Linked DNA regions of Saccharomyces cerevisiae S288C. Changing the gene in region 1 together with any one later gene gives a genetic interaction. Each region holds a gene or a part of one and is shown in the gene's direction. Other genes may lie near its edges. The genes, in order: HEL2 and YBR196C-A.

Region 1 (9,735 bases):
AGTCAAATCCACAGTCTTCAATCATTTCTCTGGCGGTTTCTAGCGTTGTCTTGGACGGTTCATAAATAACATGGCACTCTTCCGTTACCAAGGAAACGACTACCGATTCAACACCCTCAATGCCTTCCACTTGTTTGGTGACTGTAGAAACACAAGACCCACAGGTCATACCTTGTACACTCAGTAGTCCTTCCTTCGTACTTATGGCTGTAATTTCAGAATCTCTTAGTATCTCACAGTCAAATCCACAATCCTCTATAATTTCCTTAATAGAATCGGCGGTAACCTCGTTATCGTATGTCACCTGGCACTCATTAGTCACTAAACTAATATCACATTTTGTTACACCCTTTAAAGCTCGTAACTGCGTATTGATTGTATTAGTACAGGCGCTGCATGTCATTCCATGTACAGCAAGTATCACTTCTCTCATTTCGTTTTAAGTATTAAACACCTCAACTCCTTGGCCGCAAAATTTACGAAATATCTCAAATACCTTTGAAAAGTAGCTTAGTACCAGGCAGAATTAAAGTCTAATCCATATGTCTCAAATTTGAGAAGAAATCCATTAGTTACCGTGACTTCCCTAAATATATACAAGTGTGTGCAAAAGGTCTCGGAATCACCGGTGCAAACCCTTCGGCAGCTAATTGCACTCATCGCCGCACTGCACCCGTTCTTTTCCACTGCCCGCGAAAATCGCTACTACAAATAACTGCACCCAGGACAATACTTACACAGATCGACCTGTTTTCGAGCCAGACGGTGGCAACACAACATTCTAACGGTGCTGGCCCTCTGCAAGAGACTGTACCAACATCTGCGTATTTTTCAAGATACTAACGTTTATTGATGAGATCTGCCGAGTGAGGAATCTTGCATATTCTGAAATAACAAAGATACGTACAAGTTAAACTGTATTATTATTTACATTGCGTTTGCAGCAGCCTAAAGCCGGGGACAGTCAGAAGCCCATTATTTTATGAATGTCGGCCAGGTTTTTTGCTGCTTTTTCTCTCGCTTTGCGCATGCCAGATTCAACGACACTATGCAAATAGGTCGGTTCGTTGATATATTTCTCAAATTCTGTTCTTGGGCCTTTCAATTCCTCAATTATCACTTCTGAAACATAATCTTTGAAATCCCTATAGTTATTGAAACGAGATACATCTTCTACGACATCTTCAATCGATTTTCTTTGAATGCCACTGACAATGTTAATTAAATTCGATACGCCTGGTCTTTCTACAGGGTCGTAGTAGAACCTATCAGAAATGGAATCTGTTAAAGCTTTTCTAATCTTTTTCTGAATTGCCTTAGGCTCATCATTCAAAAAAATTACAGAGTCGTGATTCGGATCACTCTTGGACATTTTCTTTTCAGGCGTGCTTAAGCTCAAAACTTTTTTCGTTTGTGCCAACATAGTTACAGGTTTAGGAAAAAAATTTTTCTTGTACATTTTGTTAAACTTTTCAGCAAGGTGTCTTGTTAGTTCCAAATGCTGCGATTGATCATCGCCAACAGGAACGTGTGTAGATTTATAAAGTAGAATATCCGCTGCCTGTAAAACAGGATACGAAAATAAGCCCAGTCTAACTTTTCCCACGTCAGAATCGTTAACCAGATAATCCCCATTAGTTGATTGTTTGATATTCGATTTTGATTTCCATTGCGTCATGCGGTTAAGTAATCCCATCGAGGCAAGAGTAGAAAGCAACCAGTGTAATTCACTGTGTTGAGGGATGGCGGATTGGTAGATCACCGAAGCCTTTTCTGGATCTACACCGACAGCCAGTATACTTGCTACTGCCTCATGGCGAAATTTTCTAAACATTTCTCCATCTGGCTTTGGAACAGTGATAGCGTGTAAATCAGCAACTCCAAATATCAATTCCTGGCCAGGTTGTTTTAATTCACATAAGTCTGTCCAAACACGTGTAGCACCTAGATAATTACCAAGGTGGAAACACCCAGTTGGCTGAATCATACTAAATACCGTAGCATTACTATGAAGCGCTTCGGAATTCAGCTTAAAATCGGCACGTTGCACTGTGCTTATCCACCTTTTACTGATTAACTTCAGAACCGCCTGCTTATTCGACATCTTCCTTGTAAAAGATAGTGTAAATATTTATCAAAACCTGATTCACTCCTTAGTAACGTAAAACCTTTGAGATGGTGCAGGTAGCCTGTAATAAATCATAATACCCTTTTCTACTTTCTCGAAGCCGATTTTATCACGTGAAAAACAAAAAATACCTTTGCACTTCTATCTTGTTTTGTGTTGCCTTTATAAGGAGAAAAAGATCTTCAAGAAAAGGTCATACTAATTGTAGAAACGTTTGAATTTAAGGAATCTGACTCTGATGTGCATAGCAGTGTTACTACTATTTATTTTCTTGAAAAATACCATCGTGATTGCCTTCAAATAGGTCATCTAAAACTTTCTGCTCTCAGCGGGCCGTGTTTTGAAAAATCTCACATCGAATATTGTATCGTCTTTGCCTCATTAATTGCGAATAAATACTAGATTTGTAGATATCACAAATCAAAATCGGGCTATACCACGACATTTTAATAGTTCAATTGGTTTACTTATTTGGTAATGGCGTCTATCAATCTGATTAAGTCTTTGAAACTTTACAAGGAAAAGATATGGTCTTTTGACTTTTCTCAAGGTATATTAGCAACAGGTTCAACTGATCGAAAAATTAAGCTAGTTAGCGTGAAATATGACGATTTTACGTTAATTGATGTGCTAGATGAGACTGCTCATAAAAAGGCGATTCGATCTGTGGCGTGGAGACCTCACACTTCGCTGTTAGCGGCTGGCTCTTTTGATTCCACTGTATCTATCTGGGCTAAGGAAGAATCTGCTGACAGAACTTTCGAGATGGACCTGCTAGCTATTATCGAAGGTCACGAAAATGAAGTAAAAGGTGTAGCGTGGTCGAATGATGGATATTACCTAGCAACCTGTTCCAGAGATAAAAGCGTGTGGATATGGGAAACAGATGAAAGTGGCGAGGAATATGAGTGTATTAGTGTTTTGCAAGAACATTCACAAGACGTTAAACATGTTATATGGCATCCATCTGAAGCATTACTGGCTTCAAGTTCTTATGATGACACCGTCAGGATATGGAAAGACTATGACGATGACTGGGAATGTGTTGCTGTCTTAAATGGCCATGAAGGAACTGTTTGGTCTTCTGATTTTGACAAGACTGAGGGCGTGTTTAGACTGTGCAGTGGAAGCGACGATTCCACTGTACGGGTATGGAAATACATGGGTGACGACGAGGATGATCAACAAGAATGGGTTTGTGAAGCTATTCTCCCGGATGTACACAAAAGACAGGTATACAATGTTGCATGGGGCTTTAATGGCCTCATTGCTAGTGTAGGAGCGGATGGAGTACTAGCGGTCTATGAAGAAGTAGACGGAGAATGGAAAGTTTTTGCTAAACGTGCATTATGTCATGGAGTTTATGAAATCAACGTTGTGAAGTGGTTGGAGTTAAATGGTAAAACTATACTTGCAACAGGCGGTGACGACGGGATCGTAAATTTCTGGTCTCTAGAAAAAGCAGCGTAGATGTAGAAGCAAGAGTACAATTCAGGAACTCATATTAACACAGTGATCGATCTGAATTCTAAAAATAAACTTAATGACGATTTTTCTACCTAGTTACATAAACCTTTGTATCACTATAACGCAATTCTGTCATGTGTGACGGAGTGACCTCGTTATACATATCCCTGCATTAAAAGCATGCGGTAAAAACTGAAATTTAAAAATGAAAAAAAAAAAAATTAGATATTCGGAAGACTTGTAATTAAGCATTATCTCGAATAAAGAAAGGTTACACTGAAAGTTTCATACTCGCGGTCACTCTTAATAATAGCTATATTTTCTGATTTTCTCTTAAGATTTTGAAAAGGGCATCTGAACGACTGCCCACTCAGCCATATTCAACAAATCGTCGAGCGCATACCTAGCTGAAAAAGATCCATAAAGTGCATTTTGATACAGTCTCTTTCGTCGAAAAAATAGTGGCTATACTTCTTTTCAAGAATTAGGATGAGCGAATCAGTGAAAGAAAACGTTACTCCGACACGTAACTTCCGTCGTACTCAAGGGCCCCAAAATAATACAAAACCTCACAACGACAGGAAGAATTTCAGAAGAAAGCAAAAGAAAAATAACCTTTCTGCTGAACCCAACCTCACCACTTCAAGCGCAGATGATACTGATGAAGAAAATGAATTATGTGTAATTTGTGCGCGCAAGTTAACATACGTATCTCTAACACCATGCCATCATAAGACATGCCATATCTGTGGTTTCAGACAACGAGCTTTGTACAACAAGAAAAGCTGTTTGATTTGCAGAACGGAGAATGAAGAAGTCATGTTTACCGATCGCATAGATGGTGATATTTCAGATAAATATAACTTTTGCGAAAAAAATGAAAAATATGGAATAAATTTCACTAGCGAAGAGGTTGCTACCGAAACACTAAATCTTTTAAAATTTTTTTGTCCCCTATCGAAGGATGAACAAGTTTGTGACTTTGGTAGTTTCAAGAAATATAATGAACACTTGAAATCTGAACATAACAGAATGATCTGTTTAATATGTGCAACCCATAAGCATGCATTCCCTTGTGAGCTTGAAATATTCACCCAAAATCAATTACGCAACCATCAAACTAAGGGTAATTCAGAAGGATTCAAAGGCCACCCTATGTGTGCCTTCTGTTCCGGAAAACGATTTTATTCAGACGACGAATTGTACATTCACATGAGAAATCAGCATGAAAAGTGCCATATTTGTGATAAGATGAACCCCGCTTCTCCTCAATACTTTAAGGATTATAATCAGCTTTTTGACCACTTTAAACATTCGCATTACGTTTGCACCGTCCAAACTTGCTTAGATAACAAGTTTGTCGTATTTAAAGACGAGTTGGAGTTACAAGCCCACATTTTGCAGGAGCATGGTAATATCCTGAAGGGAAAGCCAAAGTTTTTCCAGTCAGAACTTTCTACTTTTATCTCGGCTCCATCTAGAGTGATCAGGGAAAGAGATGATTACGACCTTCCATCTATATCTTCCCTACCGGGTTCATCATCCGGCTCTAGAACTGATGTGAGATCTGCTAGTTCTCCCGAGGAAAGTAGACTAAGATTGGCAGAAAGAGCAAAATACTATCTGGAAAATTCCAAAGAAGACTTCAATAAGTTTTCTTCTTATAACGAAGATTATTCTAAAGGTCGCTTAAGTGCTGAAAAATTATTGGAATCATATAAATTGTTATTCACAAAACCAAATGCGGATGTATATTTATTGATTCATAACTTAGCTGAAACCTTTCCCAAAAACTCCTCCAAATACAATAATCTGAACGCCATATATGAACAAAGAGAGCAAACCCTTGCACGACAAACTTCACTACCTTCTTTATCTAGTGATTCTTCCCTTTCAATGTCAATAGGCAGGGGCCATTGGGGTGGAACAAACGATGGGGGCAGCGCTGGTGCAGCATTAGGCGTTAGGAATATCAAAAATCTTCCAACCCTGAAAAGTCCTTCAGCGTCGTATGATCCCTTTGCAACCACCGTAAAAAAAAACACTCTGAGACCCGTGCAAAACATTAAAAGAACTACACCTCAATCAGTTAGTTATCGAACTTCCACTAATACAGTCGCCTTCTCTCCAACCTATTTGGAAAGTAAAAAGGGTTCCTCTTCTACTTCTCTAAATAATAGCAAAGATAAATTGAAAAGTCTCAACCTACCTCAACTACCTCCACCAAAGCCAAAGGTGCAAATTCCAGGTCTGAACAGACCCCAAATTGCTGATCCTAAGCAGTGGGGTAAAAAGTCAAGCACACAAGATACTAACGTGCACGATAATTTGAGGGAATTGAACACAACTAGTGGAGGAAATAAAAAGAAAGGCAAACAAAAGCAGCTGTTATTCCACATTGGTGTATAGTTGGAAATATATTTCTAACCTGTAACTGACAATAGCATTAGAGAAATGAAAGTCTTAAATAAAATTCCGATAAAGAAAAACTTATTTAATTAATTAATATAATTACAAGACTAAAAAGCATTATTTCCCCTTCGCGTTTTACTTCTCCTGCTCAGACGTCTGCGTTATTTCTGAAAAAGGCCTGTGGACAATGCTAAAAGAGTAGTCAAATTATTGATTAGTTCCTCTATTGCCGCAGGACCAGAATTTCCTGTGGTTGACAGTGTTGTCTGCACAAGGGGCATTCTGGCCTCTCTTTACACCAGCTCATAAGACAACTCCAACAAAATAGATGTCCACATGGCGCGCAGCTAGGATCACTCATGTTCATGAGACATAGGATGCATTTTCTCGAGGCTTCTGGAATAAATGGCAATTGGTTTTTATCTGACAAATTTATATGAGTCAGCTGCGATTCCTTCGGTATGCCTTCTATAGATTCATGTTCTGAACGCTCCTGTAGACCAACAGACGACCTAGTAATTGAATCATTGGTCCTTTTTCTCCCATAAATCCAGGACCCGAGCGTAGAGGTTAGGACAGGGTACCATTTCATAACATTTTGAGCTAATAGGATATAACCTAATACTTTGTACTTTTGTGAGCCCTCTTCTCTAAAATTGGCCTCATTTTTTGACAATATATGTTTAAAAACATATCTCATACCAAAAATCCTTTTGGAAATACTGTAAAAAGCTCCTTTGAAATAAAAGAGGGTCATGTGTACGTCTAAAATGAAATCTAAAAGGCCCTTACAAAACGCGGCAACACTTTCAGTATCTTCAATTTTACTTTCCTTGTTGTTCTTCATTATTTTCTTGTATAGTTTGGTGATGAAATATGGACATAAAGGATAAGCGAAAGCGAATACAATCATTTTGAGCCGTCCTGCAAGTCTGGTACCCTTCCTATTAGTGTATGTCAAGTCAACATATTCCTCACCTAACGTTCTACCACGTCTTCCTGTAGTAAAGAGCAAATACAGGAGCTTGGCAAATATGGACAGTTCCTTAGGGTAAGAGTTAACAAACAATTGACTCTTTATCAATTTGCACAATTCAGTCACTTTCATAATCAAAAGGCCCTGGATTTGTTCATCTTTTTGATGCGCTTGTACTATACTTGGAGCATCGGCAAATGGAAATCTTAGCTGCGATAGTCGCATAAGTGCTTCCTTTTGCAACTTATTATCATTCTTCATTTTGGTCCTCTATTGTATGACCCCCCACCGATGTAGTAGTGTCTGTTTCTTTCTTCGATGTGTAGTGTGCTTTATTACCACTACCTTATTTTTCTAATGTAAACGGCTAATACCTACTTCGCCCTCTCAGATTATCACGGTGGGTAAAAATTGTGATAAAACCGGCTGATTACTTGCAAGAAGATGCACATATGGACAGCTCATGTAGCTGTTGAGACGTTATCATTGTTAGAACTTTGGCTCCTATAATATTATCAATTCACGTTTTGCTGCTTATTCCTCCGAACGACTTTTAGCATTGGGTTACTCTGATCACAAACATCCGTACCCTACACTCCGGGTGATAAAGCCAGCCCATTGTTTCGTACTTTCTTATTACACCCTCATATTGAACGATCTATAAAACGAAGTAATGTACAGACACAAGTGCAAGCGAGGAATATATACGGTCGATTAGTAGATTACAAACCACGAAGTAGAATATATCATTTCCGTTTCGTCTAGATAAAAAAACACTTCTTTGTTCAGAGTAGCTAATTGATGGTGAACGAATTAGAGAATGTGCCACGGGCGTCGACCTTGACGAATGAAGAGCAAACGGTTGATCCTAGCAATAACGACTCACAGGAAGATATTAGTCTGGGTGATTCTAACGAAATTACTTCGTTGGCATCATTAAAGGCTATCCGATCAGGAAATGAAGAGGAAAGCGGGAACGAGCAGGTGAATCATAATGATGAGGCCGAAGAAGATCCTCTGTTAACTCGCTACCATACCGCTTGCCAAAGAGGTGATCTAGCGACTGTCAAAGAAATGATACATGGAAAGTTGCTCGAAGTTAATAACGACGGTGACTCTACGGAACATATCACTGGTTTGCATTGGGCAAGTATTAATAACAGACTTTCTGTAGTGGATTTTCTAGTTTCACAAGGCGCTGATGTCAATGCAAGGGCTGGTGCTTTGCATGCCACACCATTACATTGGGCTGCAAGGTATGGGTACGTGTACATTGTCGATTTTTTGCTTAAGCATGGAGCTGATCCCACCATGACCGATGACCAAGGTTTCAATCTACTACACTTATCTGTGAACAGCTCAAATATAATGCTAGTTCTATACGTTTTATTCAACGTTGTCAGCAAAGGTCTTTTAGATATAGATTGCCGAGACCCAAAGGGCAGAACTTCACTACTATGGGCTGCTTACCAGGGAGATTCCCTAACTGTAGCAGAATTGTTGAAATTTGGTGCCAGCATAAAGATCGCAGATACAGAAGGATTCACCCCACTGCACTGGGGCACTGTAAAAGGGCAACCACATGTACTAAAATACTTGATTCAAGATGGTGCAGATTTTTTCCAAAAAACGGATACCGGAAAAGATTGCTTTGCTATTGCTCAAGAAATGAACACTGTGTACTCACTTAGAGAGGCTCTAACACATTCTGGATTCGACTACCATGGTTATCCCATTAAAAAATGGTTCAAAAAAAGTCAACATGCTAAGCTCGTTACATTCATAACGCCATTTCTATTTCTAGGAATCGCATTTGCTCTTTTCTCTCATATTAACCCTTTGTTTGTAATCATTGTCCTTTTTTTATTGGCCATTGCCACTAACAAAGGCTTGAACAAATTCGTTCTGCCGTCATATGGACGAATGGGTGTCCACAACGTTACCTTGTTAAGGTCACCTTTGTTATCCGGTGTTTTTTTTGGCACTTTACTTTGGGTGACTATCGTTTGGTTTTTCAAAGTTATGCCTCGAACATTTTCTGATGAACAATATACTAACATCCTAATGCTGGTAATACTTGTTTCTGTATTTTACCTTTTTGGGCAGCTTGTTATTATGGACCCAGGATGTTTGCCAGAAGAAACTGATCATGAGAACGTGCGACAAACAATCTCGAACTTGCTCGAAATCGGTAAATTTGATACGAAGAACTTTTGTATCGAAACTTGGATTAGAAAACCTCTAAGAAGCAAATTTTCGCCCTTAAACAATGCTGTGGTTGCAAGATTTGATCATTACTGCCCTTGGATCTTTAATGATGTCGGACTCAAAAATCACAAAGCATTTATATTTTTTATTACATTAATGGAAAGTGGTATTTTCACATTTCTTGCACTTTGCCTGGAATATTTTGATGAACTTGAAGATGCACACGAAGATACATCCCAGAAAAATGGCAAATGTTTCATCCTAGGCGCTTCAGATCTCTGTTCGGGATTAATATATGATAGATTTGTCTTTCTGATATTATTATGGGCTTTACTCCAATCTATTTGGGTTGCAAGTTTGATCTTCGTCCAAGCCTTTCAAATATGTAAAGGAATGACCAATACAGAATTCAATGTTTTGATGAAAGAGAGTAAGTCCATTGGCCCCGATGGGTTATCTTTCAATGAAAACTTCAATACTACTCCAGAAGGATTTGCGCCGTCGATTGATCCGGGTGAGGAGAGTAATGATACTGTACTAGCAC
Region 2 (7,970 bases), on another chromosome or scaffold:
GCAATCGATATTAGAATGATCACTGAAAGTACAGGTTTCAGTATCCTTTTTGAAAGAAACCTCATATCAGTTCGTATGGTTCACCTTGTTGGGTCTAAACTAAAAATTGTGTTCTGCTGTAACGGCCTATTGTATATTATACAGCCGTGCAACACCGTGAAAGTATCTGCATATCAAATGGTTCAAAATATTTCACTACATGCAGTTAGAGAACGTCTTATAGAGCTCGTTCCGTTGAATGGAATTCTCCCCTTAGCCGGGTAAAAGTAGCTGTAAATATCATCTTTTACGGGTTCAGATGAATTGTTCAAAAGCAAAAAAGTTTCAAGATTTCAAATGAAGTCTACAAAGTGGCAGAAAGAGCAATAAAGCAGGCATAAGGGTAGGAAAAGAGAAGGAGAAAAGATACGAGAAACTCCGGGTTCAAGTTGAGATACTTGAAAAATAAGAATGTCACAGAAGCAAAGTACGAATCAGAATCAAAATGGCACGCATCAGCCACAACCAGTAAAGAATCAACGAACTAATAATGCTGCTGGCGCCAATTCCGGCCAGCAGCCACAGCAACAGAGTCAAGGCCAGTCTCAACAGCAGGGGAGGTCCAATGGTCCGTTTTCGGCGTCAGACTTGAATAGAATTGTCCTAGAGTACCTGAATAAAAAGGGATACCACCGTACAGAGGCCATGCTGAGAGCCGAGAGTGGACGTACACTAACACCTCAAAACAAACAATCACCAGCAAATACTAAAACAGGTAAATTTCCTGAACAATCATCAATTCCTCCGAACCCCGGGAAGACAGCTAAACCCATAAGCAATCCAACTAATTTGTCATCCAAGAGAGATGCAGAAGGTGGTATAGTATCTAGCGGGCGACTAGAAGGGCTCAACGCACCTGAAAATTATATACGTGCATATTCAATGTTGAAAAACTGGGTAGATTCGTCGCTGGAAATTTACAAGCCGGAACTAAGCTACATCATGTACCCAATATTCATTTATTTATTTTTAAATTTGGTGGCCAAAAATCCTGTTTACGCCCGTCGTTTCTTTGATAGATTTTCTCCCGATTTTAAGGACTTCCATGGCTCAGAAATTAATAGACTTTTCAGTGTCAATTCTATAGATCACATCAAGGAAAATGAGGTCGCAAGTGCTTTCCAATCTCACAAGTACAGAATTACTATGTCTAAAACCACTTTAAATCTTCTCTTATATTTTTTGAATGAAAATGAGAGTATTGGAGGTTCATTAATAATTAGTGTAATAAATCAGCACCTAGATCCAAATATTGTAGAATCAGTAACCGCAAGGGAAAAATTGGCTGATGGAATAAAAGTTCTCAGTGATAGTGAAAACGGAAATGGTAAACAAAATTTAGAAATGAATTCTGTTCCTGTCAAGCTGGGACCTTTCCCAAAAGACGAGGAGTTTGTTAAGGAGATTGAAACTGAATTGAAAATTAAGGATGATCAAGAGAAACAACTAAATCAACAAACTGCAGGTGACAATTACAGTGGAGCCAACAATAGAACCTTATTGCAAGAATATAAAGCTATGAATAACGAAAAATTTAAGGATAATACTGGCGACGATGATAAAGACAAAATTAAAGATAAAATCGCCAAAGATGAGGAAAAAAAAGAGAGCGAATTGAAGGTGGATGGTGAAAAAAAAGACAGCAATTTATCTTCGCCAGCACGTGATATTTTACCTTTACCACCAAAGACGGCACTAGATTTGAAGTTGGAGATTCAGAAGGTCAAGGAATCTCGTGATGCCATCAAACTAGATAATTTACAGTTGGCCTTACCAAGCGTGTGCATGTATACATTCCAAAACACAAATAAAGACATGTCATGTTTAGATTTCAGTGATGATTGTAGGATAGCGGCTGCTGGCTTTCAAGACAGTTATATCAAGATCTGGTCACTCGACGGCTCATCACTTAATAATCCTAACATCGCGTTAAATAACAACGACAAGGATGAAGACCCAACGTGTAAAACTTTGGTGGGGCACAGTGGTACAGTATATTCAACAAGTTTCAGTCCGGATAATAAGTATTTACTTTCTGGTTCTGAAGATAAAACCGTCAGGCTATGGTCCATGGATACTCACACCGCGCTAGTAAGCTATAAGGGCCATAATCACCCTGTGTGGGATGTTAGTTTCTCCCCGCTAGGCCATTATTTCGCCACTGCATCGCACGACCAAACCGCAAGGTTATGGTCATGCGATCACATATATCCATTAAGAATATTTGCAGGACATTTAAATGATGTTGATTGTGTGTCATTTCATCCGAACGGTTGCTATGTGTTTACGGGATCCAGCGATAAGACGTGTCGAATGTGGGACGTTTCTACAGGCGACTCGGTTAGGTTATTTCTTGGACATACTGCGCCCGTCATTTCTATTGCTGTTTGTCCAGATGGTAGGTGGTTGTCCACTGGTAGCGAAGATGGTATTATTAATGTATGGGATATTGGTACCGGCAAAAGGTTGAAACAAATGCGTGGCCATGGTAAGAATGCCATTTATTCCTTATCATATAGCAAAGAGGGAAACGTACTTATTAGTGGAGGTGCCGATCATACAGTCCGTGTATGGGATTTGAAAAAGGCCACTACTGAGCCAAGCGCAGAACCAGATGAGCCATTCATTGGATACTTGGGTGACGTTACTGCATCTATAAACCAAGATATAAAAGAATATGGTCGCAGAAGAACAGTAATACCTACAAGCGATTTAGTAGCGTCGTTCTACACCAAAAAGACGCCTGTTTTTAAGGTCAAGTTCAGCAGAAGCAATTTAGCCCTTGCAGGAGGTGCTTTCAGGCCATAATTCACACTGAAAAAAATAACAGCATGGAAGTGATATGTAATAAGTATAACCTAATCCGATATGTAACTATTAGATGCTTTTTCGACATCGTACTTGACCTGCTCGGCGGTTATCATAGCGTCTTCTTTAGCCTTTTTTTTTTCGCTCAGTCATCGGGGCCAAAACAAGAAAGGCGAAGAACAGAAAAATGAAAAATGTAACTGGTTGTTGTAAAAACCTTCCAGAGAAATAAGATGAAATGTATGTTGCTGGCACGAACGAAGACAAATAATGGGAGTGAAGCAAACCCCACCAGTCCAGGTGAAAGTAAGCGACGCGGATTCCACCAACAGAAGGAAATCTAGTAGCCAGGAAGGAAACCCTCAGCTGGTTCAATTAAAGGCAAAGAGCGACAAAGATAAAAGAAAGGGATCTTCAGATTCCACTGCCTCTATAATGGGCAGTTCCAACGCACTTCCGACCAAAAACCTAACCACGCCTCCAGCACTAAACCCCTTAACGACCAGCATTAGTAGGGGTAATACTGCATACGAAAGAAGCGTAAATGGTAGCCGTATAACAATGCACTCAAACCTGGCACCTACGGAGACGCAAGACGTATCATGGTCTGAAATCGATACACTGGATGATGTGAAGAAGATGGCGAAAGAACCTATCGTCAACGACGGGTTCCCACGAGATTTTGAGAGCAATCTCACGCAAATGCGCAAGTCGCACGCTCAACTACTGCGATTAATGAGGGAAAGAAATCAGCGACTAAAGTATGCCAAGCTGAGGAGCCCTCCTCATAAGGATCAGCATAATTCTGCCACGAATAAAGATCAAGAACCAGACGAGGTATTGCATGACCCGGAAATCGCACTTGACGGTGAGAAGTACGTGAGCCAAGTTGTCGATACTATTAAAGATGTTCACCGATGCTGATGACATGTATGGGTTGAAAATATTTAGAGGATGCTAAAAGTCCCGTCTAAAATAGAGGAAGTCATGGATTACATTATCACCTTTATTGTCCTGTTCCGTCTGGCTAATTTGGGACGAGGAACGTTTGTCTCCATTCGCAACCTTTTGAAACCATATGAACGGCGGCTAATCTGACAGATGTCTTATATTTCTAGGATTGTAGAAAGCCTCCTCATCAAACCACCTTGTTTGAAAAAGGCACTAGTGCGGTTGCTTTACTTGATCTAGTATTCTCCTACCTTGGAGCGGTCCCATATCAACTAAATTCAGTTTTCTGACTGAGTTAAAAACTAATGTAGCGACACCACTTCCATTGGTGCCTCCGTTATTTTTTTTTTGTATGTTAATGCTAAATAATACACCGCTATGTATTTCAGGGCACTACTTCTACACATCAACGGTACTAAACATTTCGCTCAAGATCGGTCCGCTTTCACGTATTTGGATGCTATGCAATGTTGACTATTCTTAGTGGATAACATGCGGCATTTCCTGGCGGCTATTTGCATCGCTATGTAAGTGGCAATGTTCGGATGTGGGTAGTACTTTCAAAAGAAAAAATATTACTGAAGAAGGCATACTACGCCAAGACTATTTTATTCTCAGCACTTGTCCTACGTGGGGTTAGAGGCGAGTAAGACTTTGGCCCCGCTGCGGAAGCAAAGAGAATTTTGCCATCGGACATGCTACCTTACGCTTATATCTCTCATTGGAATATCGTTTTCTGATTAAAACACGGAAGTAAGAACTTAATTCGTTTTTCGTTGAACTATGTTGTGCCAGCGTAACATTAAAAAAGAGTGTACAAGGCCACGTTCTGTCACCGTCAGAAAAATATGTCAATGAGGCAAGAACCGGGATGGTAACAAAAATCACGATCTGGGTGGGTGTGGGTGTATTGGATTATAGGAAGCCACGCGCTCAACCTGGAATTACAGGAAGCTGGTAATTTTTTGGGTTTGCAATCATCACCATCTGCACGTTGTTATAATGTCCCGTGTCTATATATATCCATTGACGGTATTCTATTTTTTTGCTATTGAAATGAGCGTTTTTTGTTACTACAATTGGTTTTACAGACGGAATTTTCCCTATTTGTTTCGTCCCATTTTTCCTTTTCTCATTGTTCTCATATCTTAAAAAGGTCCTTTCTTCATAATCAATGCTTTCTTTTACTTAATATTTTACTTGCATTCAGTGAATTTTAATACATATTCCTCTAGTCTTGCAAAATCGATTTAGAATCAAGATACCAGCCTAAAAATGTCCAATAACTCATTCACTAACTTCAAACTGGCCACTGAATTGCCAGCCTGGTCTAAGTTGCAAAAAATTTATGAATCTCAAGGTAAGACTTTGTCTGTCAAGCAAGAATTCCAAAAAGATGCCAAGCGTTTTGAAAAATTGAACAAGACTTTCACCAACTATGATGGTTCCAAAATCTTGTTCGACTACTCAAAGAACTTGGTCAACGATGAAATCATTGCTGCATTGATTGAACTGGCCAAGGAGGCTAACGTCACCGGTTTGAGAGATGCTATGTTCAAAGGTGAACACATCAACTCCACTGAAGATCGTGCTGTCTACCACGTCGCATTGAGAAACAGAGCTAACAAGCCAATGTACGTTGATGGTGTCAACGTTGCTCCAGAAGTCGACTCTGTCTTGAAGCACATGAAGGAGTTCTCTGAACAAGTTCGTTCTGGTGAATGGAAGGGTTATACCGGTAAGAAGATCACCGATGTTGTTAACATCGGTATTGGTGGTTCCGATTTGGGTCCAGTCATGGTCACTGAGGCTTTGAAGCACTACGCTGGTGTCTTGGATGTCCACTTCGTTTCCAACATTGACGGTACTCACATTGCTGAAACCTTGAAGGTTGTTGACCCAGAAACTACTTTGTTTTTGATTGCTTCCAAGACTTTCACTACCGCTGAAACTATCACTAACGCTAACACTGCCAAGAACTGGTTCTTGTCGAAGACAGGTAATGATCCATCTCACATTGCTAAGCATTTCGCTGCTTTGTCCACTAACGAAACCGAAGTTGCCAAGTTCGGTATTGACACCAAAAACATGTTTGGTTTCGAAAGTTGGGTCGGTGGTCGTTACTCTGTCTGGTCGGCTATTGGTTTGTCTGTTGCCTTGTACATTGGCTATGACAACTTTGAGGCTTTCTTGAAGGGTGCTGAAGCCGTCGACAACCACTTCACCCAAACCCCATTGGAAGACAACATTCCATTGTTGGGTGGTTTGTTGTCTGTCTGGTACAACAACTTCTTTGGTGCTCAAACCCATTTGGTTGCTCCATTCGACCAATACTTGCACAGATTCCCAGCCTACTTGCAACAATTGTCAATGGAATCTAACGGTAAGTCTGTTACCAGAGGTAACGTGTTTACTGACTACTCTACTGGTTCTATCTTGTTTGGTGAACCAGCTACCAACGCTCAACACTCTTTCTTCCAATTGGTTCACCAAGGTACCAAGTTGATTCCATCTGATTTCATCTTAGCTGCTCAATCTCATAACCCAATTGAGAACAAATTACATCAAAAGATGTTGGCTTCAAACTTCTTTGCTCAAGCTGAAGCTTTAATGGTTGGTAAGGATGAAGAACAAGTTAAGGCTGAAGGTGCCACTGGTGGTTTGGTCCCACACAAGGTCTTCTCAGGTAACAGACCAACTACCTCTATCTTGGCTCAAAAGATTACTCCAGCTACTTTGGGTGCTTTGATTGCCTACTACGAACATGTTACTTTCACTGAAGGTGCCATTTGGAATATCAACTCTTTCGACCAATGGGGTGTTGAATTGGGTAAAGTCTTGGCTAAAGTCATCGGCAAGGAATTGGACAACTCCTCCACCATTTCTACCCACGATGCTTCTACCAACGGTTTAATCAATCAATTCAAGGAATGGATGTGAACAAATCGCTCTTAAATATATACCTAAAGAACATTAAAGCTATATTATAAGCAAAGATACGTAAATTTTGCTTATATTATTATACACATATCATATTTCTATATTTTTAAGATTTGGTTATATAATGTACGTAATGCAAAGGAAATAAATTTTATACATTATTGAACAGCGTCCAAGTAACTACATTATGTGCACTAATAGTTTAGCGTCGTGAAGACTTTATTGTGTCGCGAAAAGTAAAAATTTTAAAAATTAGAGCACCTTGAACTTGCGAAAAAGGTTCTCATCAACTGTTTAAAAGGAGGATATCAGGTCCTATTTCTGACAAACAATATACAAATTTAGTTTCAAAGATGAATCAGTGCGCGAAGGACATAACTCATGAAGCCTCCAGTATACCCATCGATTTGCAAGAAAGATACTCGCACTGGAAGAAAAACACTAAACTACTTTATGATTACCTAAACACGAATTCAACAAAGTGGCCGTCCTTAACGTGCCAGTTCTTTCCTGATTTAGATACCACTTCGGATGAGCATCGCATCTTGTTATCCTCATTTACATCTTCCCAAAAACCTGAAGATGAGACCATATATATTAGCAAAATATCCACGTTGGGTCATATAAAATGGTCATCTTTAAATAATTTCGACATGGACGAAATGGAATTCAAACCGGAGAACTCGACAAGGTTTCCCTCCAAACACTTAGTAAATGACATCAGTATTTTCTTCCCAAACGGGGAATGCAATAGGGCAAGATATTTGCCTCAAAATCCAGATATTATAGCCGGCGCCTCTTCAGATGGTGCAATCTACATATTCGATAGAACAAAACACGGCTCTACTAGAATAAGACAGTCCAAAATTTCACATCCCTTTGAGACAAAGCTGTTTGGTTCACATGGTGTTATTCAAGACGTGGAGGCAATGGATACTTCTTCGGCAGATATAAATGAGGCGACTTCTTTAGCCTGGAACTTGCAGCAGGAGGCCCTTTTACTTTCTTCTCACTCCAACGGCCAAGTTCAAGTTTGGGACATTAAACAATATTCGCATGAGAACCCTATAATAGATTTACCCTTAGTGTCAATAAACAGCGACGGAACAGCGGTGAATGATGTAACTTGGATGCCAACACACGATTCCCTCTTTGCTGCTTGTACTGAAGGAAATGCGGTCTCCCTATTAGATCTGAGGACTAAGAAAGAGAAGCTCCAGAGTAACCGTGAA

Evidence for each region.
Region 2: mutations in HEL2 (region 1) and YBR196C-A together harm fitness more than expected from each alone (negative genetic interaction), as found in Saccharomyces cerevisiae (one large-scale study listed by BioGRID).

Annotation. Positions count from the first base shown.
Region 1 is NC_001136.10:996,373-1,006,107, reverse strand, and holds HEL2 (E3 ubiquitin-protein ligase HEL2), read left to right. Parts: upstream 1-4,084; coding exon 4,085-6,004; downstream 6,005-9,735. Other genes in the region: Cu(2+)-transporting P-type ATPase CCC2, read right to left, coding at 1-433; tryptophan--tRNA ligase MSW1, read right to left, coding at 965-2,104; iron-sulfur cluster assembly protein CIA1, read left to right, coding at 2,606-3,598; PEX10 (ubiquitin-protein ligase peroxin 10), read right to left, coding at 6,231-7,244; palmitoyltransferase AKR1, read left to right, coding at 7,785-9,735. UniProt on the Saccharomyces cerevisiae protein: E3 ubiquitin-protein ligase that plays a key role in the ribosome quality control (RQC), a pathway that takes place when a ribosome has stalled during translation, leading to degradation of nascent peptide chains.
Region 2 is NC_001134.8:611,004-618,973, reverse strand, and holds YBR196C-A (uncharacterized protein), read left to right. Parts: upstream 1-4,800; coding exon 4,801-4,950; downstream 4,951-7,970. Other genes in the region: KTR4 (putative mannosyltransferase), read right to left, coding at 1-65; TAF5 (chromatin modification protein), read left to right, coding at 451-2,847; YBR197C (uncharacterized protein), read left to right, coding at 3,118-3,771; YBR196C-B (uncharacterized protein), read left to right, coding at 4,344-4,448; PGI1 (glucose-6-phosphate isomerase), read left to right, coding at 5,074-6,738; MSI1 (Msi1p), read left to right, coding at 7,092-7,970.